Linked DNA regions of Rattus norvegicus. The protein of the gene in region 1 interacts with the protein of each later gene in a biochemical or structural test. Links are inferred from orthologs where the notes say so. Each region holds a gene or a part of one and is shown in the gene's direction. Other genes may lie near its edges.

Region 1 (12,805 bases):
GCAATAACAGATAGCCGATGAGTACACAGGCTGTAGCTATGAAGAAATGACTTCCAAACAGACAGATAAGGCAGCCCTGCAACGCCATCGCACCCAGAAGCACAAGCAAGGAAAGAACGCCCAAAATAACACAGGCAGCAAGAACTCACTGGGATAAAGGAGTTCTGCACTCAAGCCCAACTCAAACAACAGCATTGTATAGGTCACATGTACATAGGCATTCACCTGAGCACACATGTATTCATACATGAAGTACATACACATGCACACACTCACACATACACACACACACACACGAGAGAGAGAGAGAGAGAGAGAGAGAGAGAGAGAGAGAGAGAGAGCGCAAAAAACATGACTAATATGAGATTTAGTTCTCAAAGATGTAATATCAGGGTAATGTTTTAGTTAATAATTTATTTGAGAAAATAGGCTGTCTTACATTTGACTATGAAATAAACACATGTTTAGACTAAACGGTGTAAGATTGCATTTTGCAGTAAGCTGGTAGCCCCATCTCAGTTTCTTTGCCTGTATAAAGGAGATAATAATGGCCTCCTGTGTTTGAGATGACGATGAACGTGCAGATTTCACTGGCCACATTGTCTTCTACTTAATTATCGTCCGGTTAATGTTAATAATAATTACAATGACTGACATAATATTGTGGGCAATATTTCTCTTCACGATACTCATGTAGACTATAAATATATGATTGGTTGGTTGGTTAACTTTTCCATTTTGACAGTTTTTCCAAAACATTTTCTTGGAAACTGTAAGTTCGTATTTTCATTAAGGATGAACCTGAAACCAGCTATAAAAAGCTAATCACTGTTTAAAAGGGATTATTCATATTTTAGTGGTACACTATAGCTTTTGTATCGTCACTAAAGTCTGATTGTAAGCATGGATTTGAGGCTTTGCTCTTATGAAAAACTCAATTAGAAGCTGAATACTTCTTATTTGAAAATATATTTGCAAAACCTAAGGGTTCACACTCACATAAACTAACCCTCAGTGCAAAATAAAGTAAGGAATGTAAAAAATGTTTCGTTTTTAGTTGTACATTTTACCATGTCTTAAACAAATATACAGACACATTACTTTGACATGTGAATATCAGTGTTTTAAAAATAATCACAATTTTAGATTAAAAATCACTTAATATATCCTGCTACTTCACCACAAGTTATTGCAACATTCAGATCTGGAACTTAAGTTGAACAGAACACTGCTCATAGCACATGTGTTAATGTAGAGAGCGCTTGCTGATCAGGAGAAAGAGATAAGGAAGAGTTAGAGCCATTAATTTACCCCACACCTGTATTGTTTGATCTTATTTTTATTTTGTGTGTTTTTATTTATTGAGTAATATAGACTTTAAAATAGTTTAAAGTTAACCGTTGTGGCTGCTTTTCACAGGTGGTGCTTGAAGTTAACAGTGAATTTCAAATCCAGGTAAGATTTGAAACCTTTTTTTCCCAGACTAATAGAGTAGTGAAGGCTTGTGACCTCAGCACTCCCGAGGCTGAGGCATGAGAACTGTGGATAAGCGGTCCCCTGGGCTACAGAAAGAAACCCTGTCTCAAATCATGTAATAAACAAAAGAAAAGAAAAAACTAGAAAGAGAAAATGGGGAAAGGGACAGAGGGACAGAGGGAGCAGACCAAAAGAGAGTTGACTTGGCTGTCCTCAAGAAAACCTTCATTCTTATAAATACAAAACCACTACAGTGGGACAGTTCCAACTGCTAAAATTACCAGAGTTCTTAGTTTGCCACTAAACTATCCATCTTCTCTTCCTGACATAATTGCTCCTCCTCCAAAATCCCCAGTGGAATACCCATAAGTAACAGTTAACAGACACAACGTTTTACCTATTTAAGGTAAGAGATCATAACGCCAAAAATGGTACCATCAAGTGGCATTCCATCAGAAGGCAGAAACGAGAATGGATCAAGTTCGCCGCAGCCTGTCGGGAAGGAGAAGACAACTCAAAAAGAAACCCAATTGCCAAAGTAAGTGTGAACCCAGAACAGGAGTCTGGACCGCACAAGGGCTAGGGCGCACTTCTGGAAGAGCCCAGTTTTCATGTGCTTTGTAAACACATATTACTGAAAAGGTACGGTCTAACAGCACCGCCCCACTCAAATTATGAAAACCAAAATTCCTAAAGGGATAAACCAAGAACGTTGGGTGCTTGAATAAAGCGCTAAACACCGTTTTGTCTCATTGGCAAAAGTAACACCCATGAACGTGCGTAACACTAAACTCCAAAAGGACCATGATTTACAAATGCATTGAGGACTCAACGTGGTCAGACCATGTGCTCTTTCTGCTGCATAACCCTCAGAATTAACTCCTGTTTGCCCATATTTACAAACATCCAGAGGTTGTCTCGTTCATAACCTCAAGCTCCTCTCATTCTCCTTCTTCTTTTTTTCATACACAAAAGCACAAACTCAGGAACCTACTCCCTACATACACACAGATTCACCCCCACAGACATGTAGATACACACACAGAGATGTAAAAACAGCCATTTGTACAGATACACAGGCAACTCCCTTGTAAGATTTGCTTATATTCATAAACTATTTAGAAGTTACCACCCTTTATTGGAGTGGGTACTTTCCTTCTCCTCCCCACTTTTAAAATTAGAAGTTTCAAATAGCCTGCTACTATAAAGTCCATTTAAATACTTTCCTGAATCTTTGTATTTTTAAAGTTATATTTAATTTAAATACCAACATTACATGATAACTCTCTAAGAAGGCTATCTCTAGACAAAGAGCTAGCACAGAGTCCAAAACTAATATGAAAATAAAACTATAAATGTTTGATGATTATGACCTCTATGACTGATGTATATAAAGACTTCTTAGGGTGACATTTGTTTCTTTATTGTTTGGTAGACATAGAAATGGAATTGTTTTATTACATTGTTATTTATCATTTCCCCGTTTCTAAAAACTCCCAGGTGATGTTGTAGACCGCATACTCAACAGTTCTCCAGGAAGACAGTTGTCATCTGTTGCGTGTAGAAGTTCACATGGCCCTTGTAACATCTTCACTGTGTCTTTATACAGATTCATTCAGATTGTGCTGCAAACCAACCAGTGACATACCGCATCTCCGGAGTAGGAATTGACCAACCACCTTATGGAATCTTCATTATTAATCAGAAGACTGGCGAAATCAATATAACATCCATTGTTGATCGTGAAGTCACCCCCTTTTTCATTGTAAGTGGGCTTTGTGTCAATATCTTTATTCAAGTAGATGTTATTCCTGGAAAAATCTTAGACCATACCAGATTTGATTTCAAGAGTCTCAATATTGGGCCTTCTGAGATCTTTCTTAATTCATTACCCCAATAGATGAGGAAATATTAATAGAGAAATGTTTCCCTTATGTGTTAACAAAAATCTTAGTTTACATCAGCTCTGTAACAAATTAATTTGTTTGGAAGGACAAATCTTTAACTTCTATTCAATCTTTAAAAGAGAAACATCAGTGGAAATCAATAGTTCCTTCTTTTCATTAATTAACTTATTTACTTTGCATCCAGATCAGAGCTTTCCCTCCCCTTCCCTCCCCGTCCCCTATGTCCCCCTGCCTTTCTCCTTTTAAGCCAAGGGATGAGCCTTGAGCTCCTGGAGGCCAGTTGTTTCATGTGAACAAATTTCATTATAATCAAACTCATCTGAGCTCTAAATTAACTTCAGAAACTCACTCATCCCTACCTGGCCTTATCTCTCTTTTTTATTCCTAGACACTGTCACACAACTTCAGTAGCCTCTCTTCTAATGTGCCTTAACCTCTGACTTACCTTTTCTCTTCTGTTCTCCTCATCTATCGACTGCCTCCATTTCCATCAATCACATGGCTGACATTTCTTAATTAAAAAAAAAATAAAATAAAAATGAAAACAAACTTTTCACTGATCTTACAGTCTCTTCTATTAAAATCCCATCAAAGATCGGAGGATGAAACTCAGTGATTAAGCATTTGCTGACTCCATGAAAAGGCCTGGCTTTGATTCCCAGCCCTGAAAAAAAATCATATTCCAAGCTACCTTCAGATATTCCTTACTTTTTGCTGCCTTAATTCACACTGCTCATCTGCGTCCCTAGAATTACTTTAATCACTTGGCTTCCAAGTCCAAATCGGTATTCCAACACTTAAGAATGCCACTTATTGTTTACAGTGCTCCTGACTATCCCTGACCACATTCTCTAACGTCCTCCTCTGGCATGGCTTGATTGTAAACATAGACTATGCATCATTCCTTTTATCTAACGTACCAGGATGTTTTTAAACTTGCATTGAATGCTCTTCCTTGCCTTGTCTTATTGATTGTATAAGTTGCTCGTGTCGCTGTTTTAGTGGGAAGTAATAATAATAATAATAATAATAATAATAATAATAATAATAATGTGTCCCTTAATCCTGTGGTACCCAGGGATGCCTGCATTCTGTGAGAAGTGACAAATACATGCCTTGCCACTGACTTTTTCCTTTCCCGTCTAGATCTACTGCCGAGCACTGAATGCACAAGGTCAAGACCTGGAGAATCCACTAGAGCTTAGAGTCAGGGTGATGGATATAAATGACAACCCTCCTGTGTTTTCAATGACTACATTTCTAGGACAAATCGAGGAAAACTCTAACGCAAGTGAGTCACCTGCACTATTAAAGAAACAATGTGTTGATGACTAAATTGCTGTTGCTAGGCAACGGGGCTGAGCTGTGGCAAGGTAAACATCAACTGGGAGAAAGTGTAGAAAGCATCCGGAACCAACGACTCAAGACATAGTTGTGGTGTCAGCCCAGGAGCACCTCCAAAGCAACAAGTGGGACTGACAGTCTGCCTTGTGCCCTAGCTCTTTGGAGATTCTTACACTACATCCCGACAGGATCTGCAAGTGCCTACAGGCTCGGAGAAATGGGAATTTACTCTCTGCCCAAATGTGTTTGAAAGGCAATTCCACTCACATATGATCAAAATCCTCACTTTCAATTTATTTTTTACCCAGACATAAGAAATGTTCCTCCTTATGGGAGTACATTATTCAATAAAATACATAATAACCAAACAAGGATCAAGAGAATTCCCCGGTCATTAACCAGTAAGCACTGAAGAATTCCATACTCTTCCTTCTGTAATCATTTCAAAATAGAACACAGATTGACACTCTATTCTGAAGAGCTCAAAAGAGCTCATGCATTGTAACTTAGATCACCACTACACAAATCAAGCCAGACACAAAAAAATAGACATCATATGTTCTCACTCATTTCCAAGGCAGAGGGATGGAGTAAACAGCGCCCAGTAAAAACTGGGGAGTAGTAAGTACCAGAAACAGAACAAAGTTGATTACCTTAAGTCACTCAAAGATATTCAATACACGTAATCTGTTTTGATGCTTAGAGCTTTTCTTAACAACAAATGAATGTCAAGAAATCTTTGCTTCCCATTTTTACTCAAGCTATAATAAATGTAGTCATTCCTCTTTATCTGGTTTGGTTCTAGGACCTCTAAAGATAAAGGGATCTATGGAGTTCATATCTTTTTATAAACCATATCTTGTTTGCATAGGTTCACATACTTCCCTTCACGTATTTTTAATTATTTCTATATGGCAATAATGCCTAATACAATGAATATGACATATAAATATTTATTGTCCTCATGACATGAAAAAGTCTTTACATAGTCTGTCAGATGTAATGTAAGTTCTTTGGATTTTTCCCCATTCATTCTGGGCTGAATTGTGGACATGGACCCCAGAGCTGCAGAAGGCCAATTACAATGATTCGCTTTGCTCAAGTTGCTGGTTTTATACATTGGAAATGTGTTATAAATGTAATTCCATAGGGCTCACCATAAATACTGGAAGCATATCTCTCAAATGGTGCTACCTGGTGGCACTAGCAGTCTAGTCCACTGTAGCATTTCTCTGAAAGGACTCTGACAATCTCGGAGTACAGTTGCTGCCCTATGGTTCCATGTACCTAAAAATGTAATTACCAAATACTCAGTAACTAAGTGGGACAGTGCCCACCATTGAAGATTGTTCAAAAGATGTGAGGCTAAGAGGGAGAGGCGAGAAAAGAGGAAGGTGAAAAAATGACCCAGGGGAAAGAAGCAAAAGGAGAAGGGATGGGATGTCCTGGAAGACTAGAAAAGTATGTTGAAAACAATTTAGAGTAGCAGAGCATTCCAAATGATGAAGGAATGTCAACAGCTTTCACACCCACGAGTGTCATTCATCAATACTATATACTAGATTATGAAAGAAGATACAGACAGGGCAGTGTGTGCGGTCAAACATTTCCTACAAGTTCCTAGTTACACAGCACCTACCCAAGAGCCAATTCCAATCTAAATAACAATGCCACTTATTAAATGCCCAAGATGAACAATAATATTTATTTAAAGTGCATTTTTCAGTGTAAACATCAGTCAGTATTCTCATTCGCTATTAAATTCTCACATGAACTTCATAAATACGGTGTTATTACCATTCTCATTTGTAACTGTGGGAAGTAAGGACAAGATCATGTGGCTATAAATAAGGTCCTATAGCACTGTTGAGAAACACATTAATAGTGTTTTCATGCTATTTTACTTAACAATAAGCATCTTGCTTAAAACAAGTTATGTTGGATAAATAAACAGAGTCAGGACACAGACTCCCTTCTTCCCTTCTGTAATGTCTAGGCACCTCTCTAACTGTGGTCTTTTTATTAGGACAAAAGTAAAGGGAGGAGCTATTACATTGGTATGTTGGTGTTGTCCAAAGGGGAGAGAGTTAACGCACGCTGTATGGACACAGGTAGCATATTGGACTGTAATGGTGTTCATTACCAATCCGGCCAACTGTCCTTGATTTCTAGACACACTGGTAATGAAGCTCAACGCTACCGACGCCGACGAGCCCAATAACCTAAACTCACTCATAGCCTTCAAGATCGTAAGACAGGAGCCTTCCGAAGCACCAATGTTCATCATCAACAGAAAAACTGGAGAAATCAGAACGATGAATAATTTTCTAGACAGAGAGGTAATCCTTCGTCTTTTAATGGATTTTAATTCAAAGGAACTGACTCTAAAGCAATGGTACTTAAGAGAAAGAAAAACTAAAAGAATGTGTTCAAGTGTTGTATTCTCTCTCTCTCTCTCTCTCTCTCTCTCTCTCTCTCTCTCTCTCTCTCTCTCTCTCTCTCTCTCCCTCCCTCTCTCCCAAAAGAAATAAAAGATCAAAACAAACTCACAAAAACTAGTGATAAACAATTAAAATAACACACACACACACCACACACACACACACTCAGAGACACACACACACACACCACACACACACCACACACACAACACATACACACACATACACACACACCACACACACACACACAGACACACACACACCACACACACACACCACCCACACACACCACATACACACACAACACACACACACACACAAACCACACACACACACACACACACAACACACACACAAACCACACACACACACACACACACACACGAGTCTGGTTTTTAGGTTACTTACATTTCTTTACTGACTTGTTTGAAAAACACCTTTAGAAAAAGAGGTATGGCTACCTAGCCTTTTCCTTTTCTCTCAGATTATTTTACATAGTCCAACAAAAAGATATTAGCATCAAAATAATTTTAGCAGTCGAGTTCTCTAAGAAAGGGGGTCAGAAGTTAAGGTCATCCACAATCATTGATGATTCTGCGGAACATAAACAGAAGTGCTGAAGTTATATCCATAAATGGGAATTATGTTTATGCACAAGTCTTCCCATAGCTTTTACCAACTTCTTTTTTTTTAAGATTTATTTATTATATATGAGTACCCTATAGCTGTCTTCAGACACTCCAAAAGAGGGTATCAGATCTCATTACAAATGGTTGTGAGCCACCATGTATTTGCTGGAATTTGAACTCACGACTTCTGGAAGAACAGTCAGTGCTCTCAACCGCTGAGTCATAAGGAGAAGTGCTGAAGTTATATGCATGAGTGGGAATTAATATGTTTATGCATAAGTCTTTCATAGCATTCACCAACTTCTAAAAATGGAGTCGCCACTGAATAGAATTAAAATAGAAGCATCATGTGACTCTATTTCTCATTCTCCCCCTTCCACTAGATACCACTGTACTTGTCTTAACTACTCAGTGGCGTATTACTCATAGCATGCGTCTTTAATGAACTAAATCTTTCTTACCTTAAATATTTTGGCCTGTCTCATCCTCTATACCCTTCTCTCTCTGCACACACAATGAATAAGTAATGAAGTCTTGAACAGCATGGTTGTGTCTTCGAGAGCATGCTGGGTAAGCGTCATGAGAAATGGACGTCACAGGTTCCATACTGAGTGATATGAGATCTATCGATTTTTACCTTCTGTTACCTTGTCTTCTATGGTAGATTTATGCAGATGTTGAGCCAGTGTCTACGTCCAGTGTACGATTGCCTGTAATGTGTCTTTTTCAGCAATACAGCCAGTATTCTCTTGTGGTGAGAGGCTCAGACCGTGACGGTGGGGCAGACGGCATGTCTGCAGAATGCGAGTGCAGCATCAGCATCCTGGATGTCAATGACAACATTCCGTACTTGGATCAGTCATCCGTAAGCAATCCTTCTTAAGGATCAGACTCCGCGACTTTACATTCTCCACATCCCAGTTCTTAAGGAACTCACTCAGTTTTCAGGTTCACTTGCTAGATTTGCTCTCTAGAACACCAGCGGAGACACACACTTTCTCTTGAATTGTTTCTTCAGTGGGCAAGTGGACTTGAACTAAGTATGCAGTTACACGCAGGGATGTCGTTAGCTATAAATAGTTAACTGTGAGCTTGGTGCAGACAGCTTGGTCCACAGATCTCACCCGTGCTTTGTTCTGATACTTTGCCTCTTGTTCCAGTATGACATCAAAATTGAAGAAAACGCACTGCACTCCAATCTACAGCAGTTCAGAGTCATTGATTTGGATGAAGAATACTCGGACAACTGGAAGGCAGTCATTTTCTTTGTCACTGGAAATGAGGGAAATTGGTTTGAAATAGAAATGAATGAAAGAACAAATGTAGGAACTCTGAAGGTTGTCAAGGTATGGCATGATTACCCTAAACCATTTGTTTTGCTGGTCTTTTTCTATTTCATAACATCAAGTTAAAGTGATATTAGCATTTCATAAATGAGTCTATGAAATAACAAAAATCGCCAAGCTTTAAAATTATGCAAAGTACAAGTAATTTCAATGTGAATGTATATGCTTATACAATCTCAGGAAAACAAGCATTAAAGATTTGAAACTCTTTTTACGCATGCAATTCTTTCCAAAGATCAGGTCTGGGAAAAGCATTTCTATATAAGAGGGTTTCAAATTTTGTTTACATTTATTTAAAGATTTACTTCATCACTCTGAATTGCATGTGTGTGTTTCTGTATCTGTGTAAGGGCATGTGCACATGGATGTAGTGCCCTCGGAAACCAGAGGTACCAGATCCCCTCAAGCCAAAATTTTGTGTGGTTCTTAGCTGATCAGTGTCTGTCCTGGGATCTGAGCTCTGGTCCTCTTCGAGAGCATTATGTGTTCTAAACCACTAAACCATTTCTCCAGCTTCAAAGTCAGTAATTAAATAATATTTTTAAAACCGGATTTTTAAATATGCCCATGCCAACATTGAGATGCTAATATCATGCTTTAGGAATATTTATCATAAAAATTAAGAGTTGATTCCCTCCCCCAGGATGATAAAATTAAATCATTGTGATTCTGCTAGTGTGGTTCTATGGGATTAAACGGTAACAATCATAGAATTATAGAACCTTCGTATTCTCATTTCACCATGGCTGTTGGCCAGGCTTATTTTAGTTCTCCTCTGTATCAACCACTCACCACATGTACATTCAGTAAGATATCCTGTGCAATGTAAGGTGAAATCTGACTCAGGAGAAGCTGAGAGTGAAGATTTCAACCTCTTTAAGTCTTCAATAATTGTTGACAGTTGTATGTGACACTCACAGTGAATCATTCAGGATACAGCACAGTCCCTCTTCATCTACCTCTTACTTTCATACCTCCACAGGGGTGTAGGGGTGGGCTCCATTCCCTGAGAATTCTGCCTCTTAGTGTAGGCCCAGGGTTCCCCTAGCTCCTTCACTCTGGTCTCTCCAGACTTATCTTTAATCCAACTTGAGTCTGCTTTTCAGAGTAACCTTATGAAGCAGATTTCCAATAGACTCGGTCCCTTAGGGAAGTGTGGTCTCATGACTCCCATGTCTCTTAAATTTGTATTCACTGAAACTGTTGCTTCCATTTGCTTGAAACAGGTTCCAGATGCTTCTGATCAGCTCCTCCAGCATCCCTTGAAAATTAGGTTATACTAAATCTATATTGTGACAAAGATATGGAGGCTCAGAAACCATGCAACCTGTCCTAACTTTTACTACCAGTAAATGACACCGTCATTTAATCCTAGGTTTCCTTATCTATTAAATTCATTTTTTTCTGGTACTATCTAAAATTGAATGCTAGGAAAATGAATTCTGAATCTATTCACTTTCAATTTAATGTTACTCTTAAAATTACTCAACTTATCTGCTCTTAATATCTCTACCTAAAAACTAGGATGCTTTTCCCTGATATGATAGTATACATCAAATCCTTTACTATGATTATGGAAAAGTAATATGATAACTACTTTATTATAATTATGGAAAAGTAATAACCGCACACACTTATATATGTTATAATTGGTGTTTAAAGTTGCAAATAAAACTAATTCTAAATTCCAGAATTTTAGATGATCAGGAGAGCTCAGTGTATGAATATTTTATTTAAGATATTCATAAAAATTCAGAAAAGATATATTTGGTGCATGAGGAATACATCAGCCATCTAGTAAATTCTATGCAGCATGGATTTGGATATCAACTTGTATAAGAAAACTTACTACTTGATTATCTTATAGTATGAAATAATTTTAGAACATATTGAAGAAAAGCATATATGTATGCATTTATGTATAACATTGACATTCAAAATGTCACACTGAGGTGAATATTTTAAATAGTTCTTCAGGGATAAAACTAGTTAAGTCTCTAATATATTTGATTCATGTTTTGTTATTAAAAGAGTTACTGTGTCAGAAGCATGAAATGTCAGCTAACAAATTGTCTTTGCACTGCAAATGTATTAAGTGAATCATATTTTGAATTTAAGCAATTAACTGGTTTGGTGAGCAATTGGAGCTCATGACCCATGCTTTCAACCTTTTCAACAAAAGATCCAGGACAACTAGATTTTCCCCCTTCCTATGCTTGCATGTGTCTACCTTGAACTTAATACCCAGCAAGTAAGACTAGACTGGGTAATCACGTGAATTTGAGTTCAAACACATAATTCAAATAGTAACATAACAAATGTCTTTGAGTTGTCTCAAAGGATTTCTCTGTCCACTGAATGGTTTTCTTACAGCATAACTAATTCTCTCTGTGTTTTCTAGCCCCTAGATTATGAAGCCATGCAGAAACTACAGCTTAGTATTGGTGTTCGAAATGTAGCTGAATTCCACCAGTCAATTCTTTCTCAATATACACTCACAGTGACTATGATCACTGTGAAGGTATTGAATGTCGTCGAGGGCTCTGTGTTCCGACCAGGTTCAAAGACATTTGTGGTACATAGTAGAATGGACGCAAATTACAGAGTGGGGGAGTTCACAGCTACAGACCTGGACACGGGTATGACCTCCACCAATGTTAGGTAAGAATGGCATTGTCTAACTAAAATGTTAACCTTAGGGGATCACGAGAATGGAGAGGGAAAGAATGAAAGCAAGAACTGTTTGGGGAAAGGGAGGGAAGCAGCTAGGAGGGCAGGCAGCTTGAGGTGGGTGGGAGGGTAGGAGATTGACTGAGCACAAAGTGTATTTGACAAAGTATGTTTCCAGACGCACTTGAAGAGGCACAAGAAACCCATTATTTTGTATACTAACCTTTCAAATGTAATTTTACAATGTCATGATTTGAAAGAGAGCTTTGATTTTTGCTGTATTCTTTTAAATACAGATACGTAATGGGAAACAACCCAGAGGGCCTGCTGGTTGTTGACTCAAAAACAGGCATAATAACTTTAAGAAACAGAGTTACTATGGAACAATACCAAAGGCTTAATGGGAGATATGAAGGAACAATGCTATCAATAGATGGTAAGAAATCAATTTAACTTCCAGAGGAAGCCAAGTATAAATATTCTTAGACAATTTAAAATTTTTATTGTAAAAAGAAAACCTCTTTTCTAGATCCCTGTGAGGAGAAGGGGAAGGGACAACATGGGAAAGGATTTGTAAGGGTAGAGCAGGGAAGAAGGAGCTGTGATCAGAATACAAGTGAATTTGAAAAGCCCCTTTTCAATAGAAGTTGTCCTGTTGAACTGAGCACTGGATACTCAAACTGACCTGTCTCATCATTTACTGCTTATTGGATCCTAGAGAAGCCACCTCACCCATCTACACTCCAGTCTTCTGCACAATGGGGAAATAACAATATATGCTGATAAATGTTTTTTTAAAAAAGGAAAGAAAATAGCGAGACATGTAAAAATAGCATGAACATCATTAAATGACCTTTAAGGTCAGATAACCAGACTTCGAACCATGTCTGCTGCACATCTCCAGGGATTTCATTTCCTTTATTCACAGAGTATTTACTGAGTCTTAACTAAATAATGCTAGTCATCCTGCTAGGCTCTAGGGCTCTGTCAGT
Region 2 (12,805 bases), on another chromosome or scaffold:
AGGAATGGATGACACTACTGGGGTGTGGCTGTTGAGAGGGGTCCTCGCCCATTCCCTGGGGGCAGCCCACCTCGCTGAGACTTGCCAAGGCCGCCTGCTGCTCCTTTTCCCAGCACTGGTTGCAGAGCCCAGAACCTCTCTCGGCTTAATCAGCAGGATGGCGTCTTTGCTGGGTCTGGGCCAGGAGAGCATATGCACTCCTTGTCAGGTGTCTGAGATGACGTCCAGGTGTGTCACTTACTGAGAACAAGGGAGCTCCTGTTGCCTTCCCCTTGGAAGCCCATGGGGGAGTGTTCTGCTTCCCCCATCACCAAAAGCACCATCTGCCGCCTTCCTGCCTGATCGGGAGGCCTCTGTAAATTTTGCAAAGAGTCATCAAGGAGTCCGGTTTATGTCCAAATGCCAAGAAAACCACCGGCTCCTCCAGCTTCTGCCTTAGCATTGTTTGTGTCTCTCCCAACTCCCACAGGCCAGCTCACCGTGTGGCAGGGTGGTTTGACCCAGTTTGAGGAAGAAAATTGCGCCCGCTTGGTTTGAGTGAAGGGAGAGTACCTGCCTTCACCAAGGTTAACAGTATATGGCTTCCTGGTTTTGGACACCACTTTCCAACTAGTAGCTTGACACCGTTCTTTGGGGGAACCAGACCAACAGCCCCTCCTTAGTCCTGTGTGGCGAGATCCAGTGTAGATGGTAATTGCTGGTCACACAGCAGCCATCCCTGCAGACAGACACACAGTTTGATCCCGTTTTCTCTCTTCTCTTAGGGTTGGGTGGGCAGCCTCTGGGCTGGACTTGGACTTGCTCATCCCAGCAAAGGTGACTCCCAAGTCGGCACCTGTATGGGGAGGTTTTATCAGGCTCAGTGTTGATCCTGTTGTCTGAGAACAAGTTCCAGCAGGCCAGACCCGCCAGCTTACGGGTCTGGGAAAGTCTTCTGTGGACAGTTCAGTACCAGAGCTGATTCCCACCAAGCCTCTGGGTTTGCAGGCTCCTCCCAAAGAAATAATTCTCTGTTGGACTTACAAGACCCTTAGGGATATCTCACGGTTCATGGTACATTTTCCCTTCGGATAAGTTTCTGCTCTGCGTCTCTCCCAGCCAGCCTGATGACACAGCCCAGAGGTTTCCCTGCACCCACCCTGTACCCTATACCACCTCTGTGTGCACAGGGGCTCCCTAGCTAGTAGCTCAAATAAAATAGACATTTCCAAACATGTGCACGAGCTGACGCCAGCTGGACCGGTCAGCTGCTTTGTGGGATGGCCTAAGTGACAAGGCGAGGACTTGGGACAAAAGCCCGTGGGTGCTGCTCATGCTGAGTGGCTGTTGGAGGACCCCTCCTCTCTGGCTTGCAGCCCCCATCTTAGACTTTGCCCATTGGCCAGATCAGTGGTATAGAGCTTCCTTTCACATACTCCCACAATAAGTATATTTGCAGGGCTCAGAGATGGCTCACCAGCTAAGTGCACTCACTCACTGCTCTTCCAGAGGACCCGGGTTCAATCCCCAGCACCCACATGGTAGCTCATAACCATCTGTAACTGGAGTTTCAGGGAATCTGACAACTTCTTCTGGTGCCTTCTTCTGCACTAGACGTATGCGTGGTGTATAGACATGCATGCAGGCAGAACACCCATGTACATACGATGAGTTATTTTTCAGAATTTAAAAGTAAAATACATTTTACATTGCAACTCAGAATGTATTCAATGTAGCACAAAACAAGTTATATCTCTATTGTCCTGCACTCTGTATTGTATGTTTTCCAGTATTTTTCTTTATTCTATACTTGTAATAAAGGTGGACATATCTGCTAAAATGATCTCATATTCCACAGCAGACCACAACCTGAATTTGGGGGAAAAAATGCCTAAGGTTCCTCTCTTTGCAAATTTTTCCAGATCCTCTGAACACTGTAATGGGGCAAGGGAGGGCTACCTCTGTGGACAGCTAGATCCAGGCTCCCAGTCAAGAGCTAGACTAATCCTCTCGCCCCTTTCCTGTCTAGATCTATAATGGGACCCTCAAGCGGGAGCCTGACAACAGACGCTTCAGCTCCTATAGCCAGATGGAGAACTGGAGCCGGCACTATCCCCGAGGGAGCTGTGCCACCACAGGCGCTGGCAGTGACATCTGCTTCATGCAGAAAATCAAGGCAAGCCGCAGCGAGCCTGACCTCTACTGTGACCCGAGGGGCACACTGCGCAAGGGCACACTGGGCGGCAAGGGCCAAAAGACCACCCAGAACCGATACAGCTTTTACAGCACTTGCAGCGGTCAGAAGGCTGTCAAGAAGTGTCCCGTGAGGCCGCCCTCCTGCACCTCCAAGCAAGACCCAGTGTGCATGCCGCCTATCTCCTGCAACAAGGACATGTCCTTTGGCCACTCAAGGGCCAGTTCCAAGTGAGTGCTGCAGGGCTGTGGAGGGGACAGGTGGGAGGTGATCTGCTAGCCTGGCTCACTCTGCAAGGGTCGCTCACTCCCAAGGAGGAAGGGAGAGGCTCAGTCTGTGTTCTGACTTTCCTATCGACGCCTGGAGGAGTCTCTGGTCTGATGGACCATGGATCTAGAGGAGCCTTAGAAGCGAAAAGGCCACAGAAGCTAGACATTGTGGACACAGGACTTAAGGGTGACCAGCTATGAACAGAGGGTGGCAACAGAGAGATTAGCAGGCTAATTGCTGCCACACTGTGTCTCTCGGATCGGCAACAGCAGTGCCTGGGAAAGTGTTAGAAATACTTATTTTCAGGGCTGGAGCAATGACTCAGCAGTTACCAGCACTGGCCACTCTTCCAGAAGACCCGGGTTTGATTCTCAGCACCCACGTTTGTGACTCGAAACCATCTATGAGACTCCAGTTTCAGGAGAGCCAATGTCCCTTTCCAGCCTCCAGTTATGCAAGTGGTACGCAGATACTCATGCAGGCAGAATACCCACACATATAAAATAATTAAAATAAGCTTTTGAAACTAAATAATCATTCTTGGACCCAACACAGACATCTGGAGGTCCTAGCAATGTGTTCTCTCTCTCTCTCTCTCTCTCTCTCTCTCTCTCTCTCTCTCTCTCTCTCTCTTTCTGTGTGTGTCTTTGTCTCTGCCTTTCTCTGTCTCTCTGTCTCTATCTATCTCTGTCTCTCTCTGTTACACACACACACACACACACACACACACACACACACACACCATGAAGAGAGCCATAGGCACAGGTACCTTGGGCCCACAGTAACATTAAACCTACCTTTTGAGGCTCAGAGCGGCATGAACCTTCCACTGTTTCTTATGACCTAATAACAGCTACTCACTTATTGGGCAGCTATTTAGGGAGCATCTACTCCACACTCTGTGTGTCGAGCATAGGAAGCACAGCCATGCTGGCAGCCCAGGGCAGCTCTGGAACACATTCTTGGTGACCAAGGTGCTGTGTGTCCCTCCTAGTCCAACCCCTTTCCAGGCAGACCCTGGTGAGGGGTAAGCAAAGGCCAGAGACAGCAAGCTTGCCCCAAGGCCACACATCTGGTTCTCTACCCTGTACTCTTTCCTATCAGTCTACACTGTTCTGAAAGAAAGCATAATCCAGTTTAAAGCGGACCCCTTGAAGCACAAGATGTGCTTAGTGTATCTTGACGTACTTACCCCTTGAAGTACATAAGATGTATTTAGAATAATTTGTGAAACTCTTTGGGAGACTAATCATGGCGCCATCTGCCCCAAAATGGAGGTTTAGGATTGAGTGACAAGCCACGCAGAAGGGACACTTGACTGATGAAGAGAAGGCAGTGCCTCCTCGATAGAGAACAGGTGTGCAGCTATCCCAGGGCCAGAGAATTCTACCCCTTGAGTAGAATCCCCTTCAGAAACAAAGTTGGATGACCCTAGCTAAAACTATGGCTATTCCTTGAGCACCAGCTAGGCCAAAGCGTCAGTCTCATAAAAATGAAGAGAGGGTTCCCTCTGCAGATGCTGAGGACATCGGTGGGGTAGGGCTGACCACAGAGGGTCTGTCTCTGCCCTCTGGGCCCTTTTCTCTCCACTTGGAAGGAAGACACACTCGGGTGCAAAGGCTGCCTGTGGCTGCACACCGTGGCAGCTCAGGGAGTTCCCAGCCGAGGACTCCCTTCCTTAGAAAGGCTTCCTGGAAGGGAGACTCAGCAGGCCTGGGCTAGGCCTTCATGCCTGGAACTGAGGTTGCCTTGCTACAACCAACAGACTCTTGCCAGAGTCTAGGGAACGTGCCAGAGGTTGCAGCGAAGCCAAACACTCAGTTAAAACGGTGAACTAATAGACATTTGCTGTGGTTCAACCTAATGCACGAGCTTGAGTGACAGTCTAAGCAGTGGGCATGAACCTGACCTATGGAGTGGATGGTTTCTGAGCTGTAGAACAATCCAGTGGGCAGGGTTTTAGGACCAAGTCACAGACTGTACTATGGTGGGTGGAGTGGCTCTCTAGCCACTAGTCCCATGAAAGTGATCCTAACACAGACAAATACAGTGACTGTCAGGACGTGAAAGACTGAAAGAGAGAGAGAGAGAGAGAGAGAGAGAGAGAGAGAGAGAACCTGGAAGGGAAGTCAGGCAGTGATGGCACACACCTTTAATCTCCAAACTTGGGAGGCAGAGACAGGATCTCTGTTGAGTTTGAGGCCAGCCTGGTTTACAAATCGAGTTCCAGGACAGCCAGGGTTCTGTTACACAGAGAAACTGTCTCGAAAAGACAAAAAGGAAAAACCAGCCAACCAGCCAAGCATCTAGCTGGATGTGGGGAGGAAAAGAGACAGAGTAGACAGGCCTCTCACTTACTCTTCCAGGACCAGGAACAAACACAACCACAGGATAGATGAGGAGTTCCCTCTCAGGAAAGAGGGCCAAGTTTGTGCACAATATGAAGATAACTGTCACGTATTGGCCTTAGCCCCTGAGAGCAATCTCGTACCACGAGAGGGACACCCAGCACACGGCCGTTTTCCTTCCTTGTAGGGAGCCATTCACAAGATTTTCTCCAAGACAGCCTGTCCTTTTCAGCTTCCCTAGAGGGCACATGGAAGCCGTGGTATTTGAGTGTATGAGGAGGAATGTAGAGAGCGTGCTCACTGGAGTCGCCATGTTCACGCTGTAATGCCCTGCACCCTACTTTTTCAGGATCTGCAGTGAGGACATTGAGTGTAGCGGGCTGACCATCCCCAAGGCTGTGCAGTACCTGTGCTCCCAGGACGAGAAGTACCAGGCCATCGGAGCCTATTACATCCAGCACACCTGCTTCCAGGATGAATCTGCCAAGCAACAGGTAACCGGCCGCATCCCTTCCTCGATGGTGGGTCCTGAGTGTGTCAGCCTGGGCCCCACCATAGGAGAGGAGTGGACGCTTGAGCAGTTGGATCCCAGACACTGGGATGGGGAGTGCTCCTGCCATTGCAAGAGCAGAGTTTCATCTTAACCTGCAGAGGAGGCCTCCTGTGTGGACTTTGGATGGTATCTCCCCCACTGGCCATTGCTATATGAACTTTCCCTAGTGTGATATAAAATAAACAGCTGTCACTCCCTCCCACTAACAGTGTCCCGATGATAGACCAACTGCCCCCCGACAGTGTCCCAATGACAGAGCAGAATACCCATCCCATCAGAACACAAGCTGCCATGCCAATGGGTTTATTGGGCTTATTTATAGAGCGTGGTGGGTGAGTAACTTACAAGAGCTCAAGTGACCCCAAAACAAGTCTCGTCCTGGCACAGATGTGTAGATGGAGACCCCCCTCAATCTTCATCTAACCTTTCACATACTATTTACTCTGTCACCTCCAGGATCTGTGCACCTTGGAAAGAATTAAATATCTCTGGGAGGGAGGTGTGGGAAGGAGTGGCTGGACTCTCAAGAGTCAATGATTCTCTCCATCCCCACCTTCTAGTAACAAGCCCGATCTTTAAATCTTTAATTTTTATTTACTCATTTATTCTCTCTCTCTCTCTCTCTCTCTCTCTCTCTCTCTCTCTCTCTCTCTTTCTCTGTGTGTGTGTGTATGTGTGTGTGTGCCTATCTGTCTGTCTGTCTCTCTGTGTGTGTGTGTCTCTCTCTCTGTGTGTCTGTCTCTCTCTGTCTCTCTGTGTCTCTCTCTCTCTGTGCCTATCTGTCTGTCTGTCTCTCTGTCTCTCTCTGTGTATGTGTCTGTGTCTCTCTCTGTCTCTCTGTCTCTCTGTCTCTCTGTCTCTCTCTGTCTCTGTCTCTCTGTCTCTGTGTCTGTCTGTCTCTCTCTGTCTCTGTCTCTCTCTGTGTCTCTGTGTGTGTGTGTGCCTACCTGTCTGTCTGTCTCTCTCTCTGTCTGTCTGTCTCTCTCTGTGTGTCTCTCTCTATCTCTGTCTCTCTGTGTCTCTCTCTGTCTCTGTCTCTCTGTCGCTCTGTGTGTGTGTCTGTCTGTCTCTCTCTGTCTCTCTGTCTCTGTCTCTCTCTGTCTCTCTGTGTGTGTGTGTGTGTGTGCGTGCGCACGCACACGCGCGCATGAGTGTGTTTATGAAGTGGTCAGAGAACAACTGTCAGGATTCAGTCCTCCAACTGTGTGAGTTCTCCTACCTACTGTGTGCATCCTAGAGGTTGAACTCAGATCATCGGGATTTGGGACAAGCACTTCTACCCTACCCACTGACCCATCGCCCCAGACCTCAGCAAACCCAATCTTGAGGGTCTCTTACAGGCAGCTGCAGCTGCTGCAGGGTTGGTACAAACAGCAACCCTGGTCCCAGTGGGAGGATCGTGTCCTACAGCAGCCACGGAGGAGTCCCAGGGCTCAATGACAGCCATGAATTTCACAGACACCCACTCCCTCAGATTCCACTAAAGGATATGACTATTTCCCAGCCCCCAACTCCCTCCCTCCCAGCCCCTCCCCTCAGTGAAAACGGGACTCATTTATGCCCCCGCACACAGTTGGCCAGCTAGGAAAACACTTGCAAGACCACTTCATAAACACACAAACAGCTATGTGTACCACAAGTGGCTTCCAAGAAGCATGGAGGCCGTTTTCATCAAAATTTCTACCATGGGAGAGTTTCTGTGGCACCTTGTATGTGTTTGCCTCACCTTGGGATTCTGATGTACACGGAGATCCATCTTCTCCTCTGGCCTTCACTATGCTCCGGAGGAGGAAAAGATGGCTCCAGACAGAGGAGAGACTTGCTTAGGGCCCTGAGTAGGAGAGGATGGAGCTAAGCTCTGAATTCAGGGTTTCATGTCTGTGTCAGTCCCATAATCTCATTGCTGCATTTGTTTGTGGCTGACTTGTACGCTCCTGAACTGATTTTTGTTTTGGTCTGAAAACCAGTTACTTTGAGCAGAGAAAAAATATCCCACCCTCCCTTCCTTTAGATGATATATAACAACTCTCTCGGCAGGTCTATCAGCTGGGGGGCATCTGCAAGCTGGTGGACCTCCTCCGCAGCCCCAATCAGAATGTCCAGCAGGCTGCTGCCGGGGCTCTGCGCAATCTGGTGTTCAGGAGCACCACTAACAAGCTGGAGACCAGGAGGCAGAATGGGATCCGTGAGGCTGTCAGCCTCCTGAGGAGAAGCGGGAGCACGGAGATCCAGAAACAGTTGACTGGTAGGGTATTACCGAAGAGAAACCGGGGTGGGGAGTGGGCAAGATGGCAGGCTGTGTCTCTAGCCCATGCTTCTGGGCTAGGCTGAGGCACAGCCGGGTGGGTGTTACTGAGCCACAATTCAGGGGCTCCATGGCGCTGGCTTCAATGGAAATGGTGGCACCCAGATGATCACCTGGGGCGGCGTTCACCCTTCGGAAGGCATCCTCAAGGCTGGGGTGCAAGGGAAGGAGCTTTAGGTAGGGGGTACTGGGATTTGCGGGTGATAAAAGGGGAGCTAAGTCCATGGGTCGGGGTGAGAGGATCTCAAGGGATGACTGTTTACAGTACACTTACCCTGTATTCACAAAGTACATGAAGCACTCGAGATGGGGTACAGGGTGGAGAAGCCACCACGAAGACCTTGAATTAGACCAGAGAAGACAAAAATGTTCAGAGTAATAAACTGATAAGAATTCCTAGACCCGCTGTCACGGTTGATATTCTCCATGTATGGTTTCAAATGGAAAACAGAGAACATTGAGCAGTTCTGAGTCCCAAAACATATGGTTAAAAACCGCTGAGCAATTGACTGCAATTCAGGGGCTATCCCTGTGCCTGGTTCTTACCTGGGCAGAGAACTCTGAGATGTTCTCAGACCTCACAGAACCTGCAGTCGACATGGGCACTGAGCACAGGATCATGAGGAATCAGACCATGGTCTGATGGGCCAAGCCTACCTGGAAGGTGGCCATTTGTCAGAGCTAGGACTCAGGGCAGTATCACTAGACCTCAGGTTTGCAGAGCCCGCCATGTTAAGCTGACTGTGTCTGTGTGCAGGGCTGCTCTGGAACCTGTCTTCCACTGACGAGCTAAAGGAGGAACTGGTGGCCGATGCCCTGCCTGTTCTGACTGACCGGGTCATCATCCCTTTCTCTGGCTGGTGTGATGGTAACAGCAACATGTCCCGGGAAGTAGTGGACCCCGAGGTCTTCTTCAATGCCACAGGCTGCCTGAGGTGAGAGAAAAGGGTGTGTCAGATCTTTCCGCTCAGGCCCTCCCACAACCAGCCCCCATTTCAGCCAACATCCAGCCAGAGTAGCCTCTGCTGGCCTGGCCCTGCTTTCTGTGGGCTGGCTCCAGGACAGAGAGTCAGGCATTACCAATGTCTGTGAGTCTGGCTATGCCTTGCAACGTCCCGAGAGGTTCTAAATAAAGGACAGCATTGGGAATCTAAGAGTAGAAATGACCTGCTTTGGAATAGCCAGACTGGCTCAACTGAAAACCCCTCCTCCGCCCACGGAAAAATGTACTTCTTGTGCTATCTTGAAGAACATTCTCATATTCGAAAGTTTACTGATTGGCTGCTTGTGAGTCACCTCCCGCCTGAGAGCAGAAACCTTTGCCATGTTCACTGGCATGGAGATGGTGCTGCTTTGCCCAATGTTGTTTGAGTTCCAGAGCAGGGTGTGGCAAAGCCCTGGTGGGGTCTGGATATTCCTGCTCTCAGAGCTCCGGGATGGCTACCGGCATGGAGTACGGAAACCATGGAGCAAGGTCCCCTTTAGGGTCTCACTTGCCACAATGGAATTTGTCCCCCAGAACTTCTGAGAACTTCCAGAGTAGGGGTGAAGTTAGTATTCGCTCTGTGTCTCCCGTTGTGCTTCTCCCAACCAGCCTCCAGCCATGGCCTCCAGGCTGTGAGACAAAGAGGCTAGGTAGATGAAAAGTCAGAGTAACTAAGGACTTTATGGGGCCACATGACTGCTGGATGTGACAGCGCACATACACACACACACACACACACACACACACACACACACACACACGCACGCACGTACACACATCCTGTGCATGCACCATACACACCACCTTAGGCAGGAGGACCCACAGTGCTTGGGAACGAACACATCTTCATTAAAGACAACTACATCTGGACCCCAGGTTAACCCTTATGGTCTAGCACCTCCTCAGATCTGCTCTGCTTCCACAAAAAAAAAAAAAAAATACAAGCAGCAGCTTCTAAACGCCTGACCCTCATATGGCCACTAGAGGGCAGGAGCTGGGCCGCCAGATGCGGTGGAGCTCTTGAGGGTCTTGTTCCTGGGGCTACAGGACAGAAACAATTGAGTTCAAAGGAGACCCCTTTCAGCCGGGGCCAGGCAGACCTGAATGAATCTTTTCCTTCTCTCTTTTTCTTCATTTATTTTTCTCTCTTCCCCTCTTCTTCCGGCTACAACTTTTATATTCTGCACTGTGCTGTCTGCCGCTCTTCACTGCGCATGCCCACTGCACTCTGCTCATCCCTGCCCTGCCCTCTCATCACCCCATCCACATCCTCCTTCCCGGTTCTCTCTCACAGGAATCTGAGTTCAGCTGATGCTGGCCGCCAGACTATGCGGAACTACTCTGGGCTCATTGACTCCCTCATGGCCTATGTCCAGAACTGTGTGGCTGCCAGCCGCTGCGATGACAAGGTGAGGGTGCAGGCCCCTGGTGACCCCTCCATCCCCAATCCTGCAGTCTGTGCCCATAGCTGCAAATCCCAGGGCCACACACTTAAGTCGGGGACTCTCCTAGTCCTGATATTTCTCTCCCAGAACCCGTAAGTCAAGGTTATACTTTCCGAGTGCTTGTGAAATCTGTCTCAGAGACAGAACACGAGCAGAGGCAGGAACAGTGGAGGAGACATCTGGAACGTGCTTGGGCTCGGGGGACCACATTGTTCTTGTGGTGCTGAGGCCACAAAAGTATTCTTAGGGGCCCCGTTTCCTTTCTGAGATGAAACTTGTACCAGTTTCACCTCCAGAAACACCATTGGAAGGTCACCCTCTTGCCTTCTCTAGACTTCTGGATGCAGCAGCACGCACAGATTGAAAAGCAGTTTGTGAAGAAAAAATAAATAGAGGCTGGGATACTCCCAGCACAGCTGAGCACAGCTCAGGACACAGAGGTCTAGTCCGTCCCCACACCCAGGATACCAGGGACATCAGTGAAGGGGGATCTCTGTCTCTTGCTTCCTTCTATGGAAGCGATAGCAGGTCCTCCAAGAACAGCCTTGTTGTTAAACTGCAGGACAAAGAGCTTCCCTTCCTCTTGCTCTGTGCACATCTCCTTTACCCAGATAGCCCCAAAGCAATAGAAGTCAGGTTCACCCTGGTCCTAACAGGGACCAAGTGCTGATCTAAGCGTAACTCCCAAGCCCTACCCTGGAGGCTCACTGAAAGCAAATCAGCTGTGAATCCAAATGCTCCTGTGAGGTCCTCCGAGTCCAGGCCTCACTGTCGGTATGCAGGCAGCATCTTTAATGCTGGAGGCTATGGGGTGACCATGGGAAGAGGGGACAGCAAAGACTGTAGTGACCAGATGCTTTGAAAAGCCAGAAGGAACTGGGGCTGGAGAAGACGTTTTCGTCTTCTGCCCCCCATGTGGTTGGTAGCAGTAAGTGGTCACTACTGCTTGCTATGTGTGCTATGTGCAAGGCTCCATGATTGGTCCTTTTCGTGTGCAGTTGCCCCTCAGTCACCATAGACGTTGGTCCAAATTCCCATGCACACCTAATCCACAGTCTCAAGCCTTTCCATAAAAGGAACGTATAGAGGGTATATTCACATATAACCTGTTCACACTCCTTTGTGTACCTTAAATCATCTGTAAGTTACTTAGAAAACCTAGTATAATATAAAGGCCAAATAAATAGTTGTTAATAATGCCTAGAAAGAAATCTATATGTTTAGAAATGCCTTTTAAAAGAAAACTAATTTCGATTTGTTGATTCTGTGGGTGCATGCAGAACTGAGGGCCTAGTGCATAATCTACTCCACTAACCAAGAGAAGTGAGGCTCGCCCAGTTTACAATTGAGGAAGCTGAGGCCCATAAAGGTGTGGCAGGTCGTACAGACTCAGACAGGCAGGAAGTAACAGAGGCTGGGATTATGTCCTATTCCCAGGGTGCACCTGTGAGTTCTTTCCAGACTGACAGTGGTACAGGCCATTCTGAATACTCAGAGTAGGTGGCGGGCCCGGAAATCTGTTGGCACAGTACTCAGGCATCTCTCCTTGCCCCCAGTCTGTGGAGAACTGCATGTGTATCCTGCATAACCTCTCATACCGCCTGGACGCCGAGGTGCCCACCCGCTACCGGCAGCTGGAGTACAACACCCGCAATGCCTACACCGAGAAGTCCTCCACTGGCTGCTTCAGCAACAGGGGTGACAAGATGATGGTGAGTAGTGCCCACCGTGGAGCGAGGGCCCCTCCCCAAGCACCCACCAGGTCTACCTTCCTGCAGCCCTCTCCTCTTGGAACCAGAAAACAACCCTAAGGATGGGTCCTGGTCAAAGCCTTGTTCTTGGAAGGATACTACGATCCAGGAACTGCAGCAGGGAACCCACACGGGCTGTAGCAGCCCAGGCCAACCTTTCTGCAGGCCTCCATTCTTCTTACTGTATAGTGAGACAACCATCCTTCTCTGCCTGATCTTTGAGCATTAGAGAAACAGTAGAAAGAACTCTTACCATCTTGGGCAAAGGTTCCTAGCACTTCCTGGGCCTCCTAAGAAAGACGCTATAGACGAAAGCCAGGATGTAGAAGCCAGGTTAGCCTGGACATCCCGAAGTAGCTAAAATTCTCAGCATCTTGCTGCCAGCCCCTAGTGTGGCCTTACACAATTGGAGGCCCAGGGGTGATGCTGCCCAGAACATACTTCTGAGATGCTCCCCAGAGACCATCTAGAGATCCATAGTCAGTTCTCTCACTTTGGGGGTCCTGGGATGCACAGAAGAAAGAGAAACATGGGGGCAGTCTTCCCCTATCCTTCCCAACAGAACCCACAACCTGAAACTGGGGGAGAGGCAGAATGCCTGGGTATGTTATATCATCAGGCTCCTCACTGACGTGCTGTCTGTCTACAGAACAACAACTATGACTGCCCACTCCCTGAGGAAGAGACCAACCCCAAGGGCAGCAGCTGGCTGTACCACTCAGATGCCATCCGCACCTACCTGAACCTCATGGGCAAGAGCAAGAAAGACGCTACCTTGGAGGCCTGTGCCGGGGCCCTGCAGAACCTGACCGCCAGCAAGGGCCTGGTGAGGATTCCCACCCTCCCATTTCCCCAGCCTTTGCCCCGCATCTCCCACCAGACTATCCTTTCCCGGGCTGAGTCTCTCAAACATATCTGGCTCTGAGTAAGCTTGGAGCTACAGGTGGGAGCATGTTGGGCCTTGGGCCAGAGCAG

What was found.
Region 2: the proteins of Dsg1 (region 1) and Pkp1 form a complex in vitro, tested with the Homo sapiens proteins (2 studies listed by BioGRID and IntAct). The link is inferred for Rattus norvegicus from reciprocal best matches to the Homo sapiens genes DSG1 and PKP1.

What each region holds. Positions count from the first base shown.
Region 1 is NC_086036.1:11,957,094-11,969,898, forward strand, and holds part of Dsg1 (desmoglein-1), read left to right. Parts: intron 1-1,419; coding exon 1,420-1,455; intron 1,456-1,882; coding exon 1,883-2,014; intron 2,015-3,085; coding exon 3,086-3,241; intron 3,242-4,529; coding exon 4,530-4,674; intron 4,675-6,899; coding exon 6,900-7,066; intron 7,067-8,527; coding exon 8,528-8,662; intron 8,663-8,957; coding exon 8,958-9,143; intron 9,144-11,544; coding exon 11,545-11,804; intron 11,805-12,109; coding exon 12,110-12,249; intron 12,250-12,805. UniProt on the Homo sapiens protein: Component of intercellular desmosome junctions. Involved in the interaction of plaque proteins and intermediate filaments mediating cell-cell adhesion.
Region 2 is NC_086031.1:49,868,930-49,881,734, reverse strand, and holds part of Pkp1 (plakophilin-1), read left to right. Parts: intron 1-2,008; coding exon 2,009-2,403; intron 2,404-5,140; coding exon 5,141-5,285; intron 5,286-7,381; coding exon 7,382-7,589; intron 7,590-8,406; coding exon 8,407-8,584; intron 8,585-9,928; coding exon 9,929-10,043; intron 10,044-11,635; coding exon 11,636-11,791; intron 11,792-12,479; coding exon 12,480-12,656; intron 12,657-12,805. UniProt on the Homo sapiens protein: A component of desmosome cell-cell junctions which are required for positive regulation of cellular adhesion.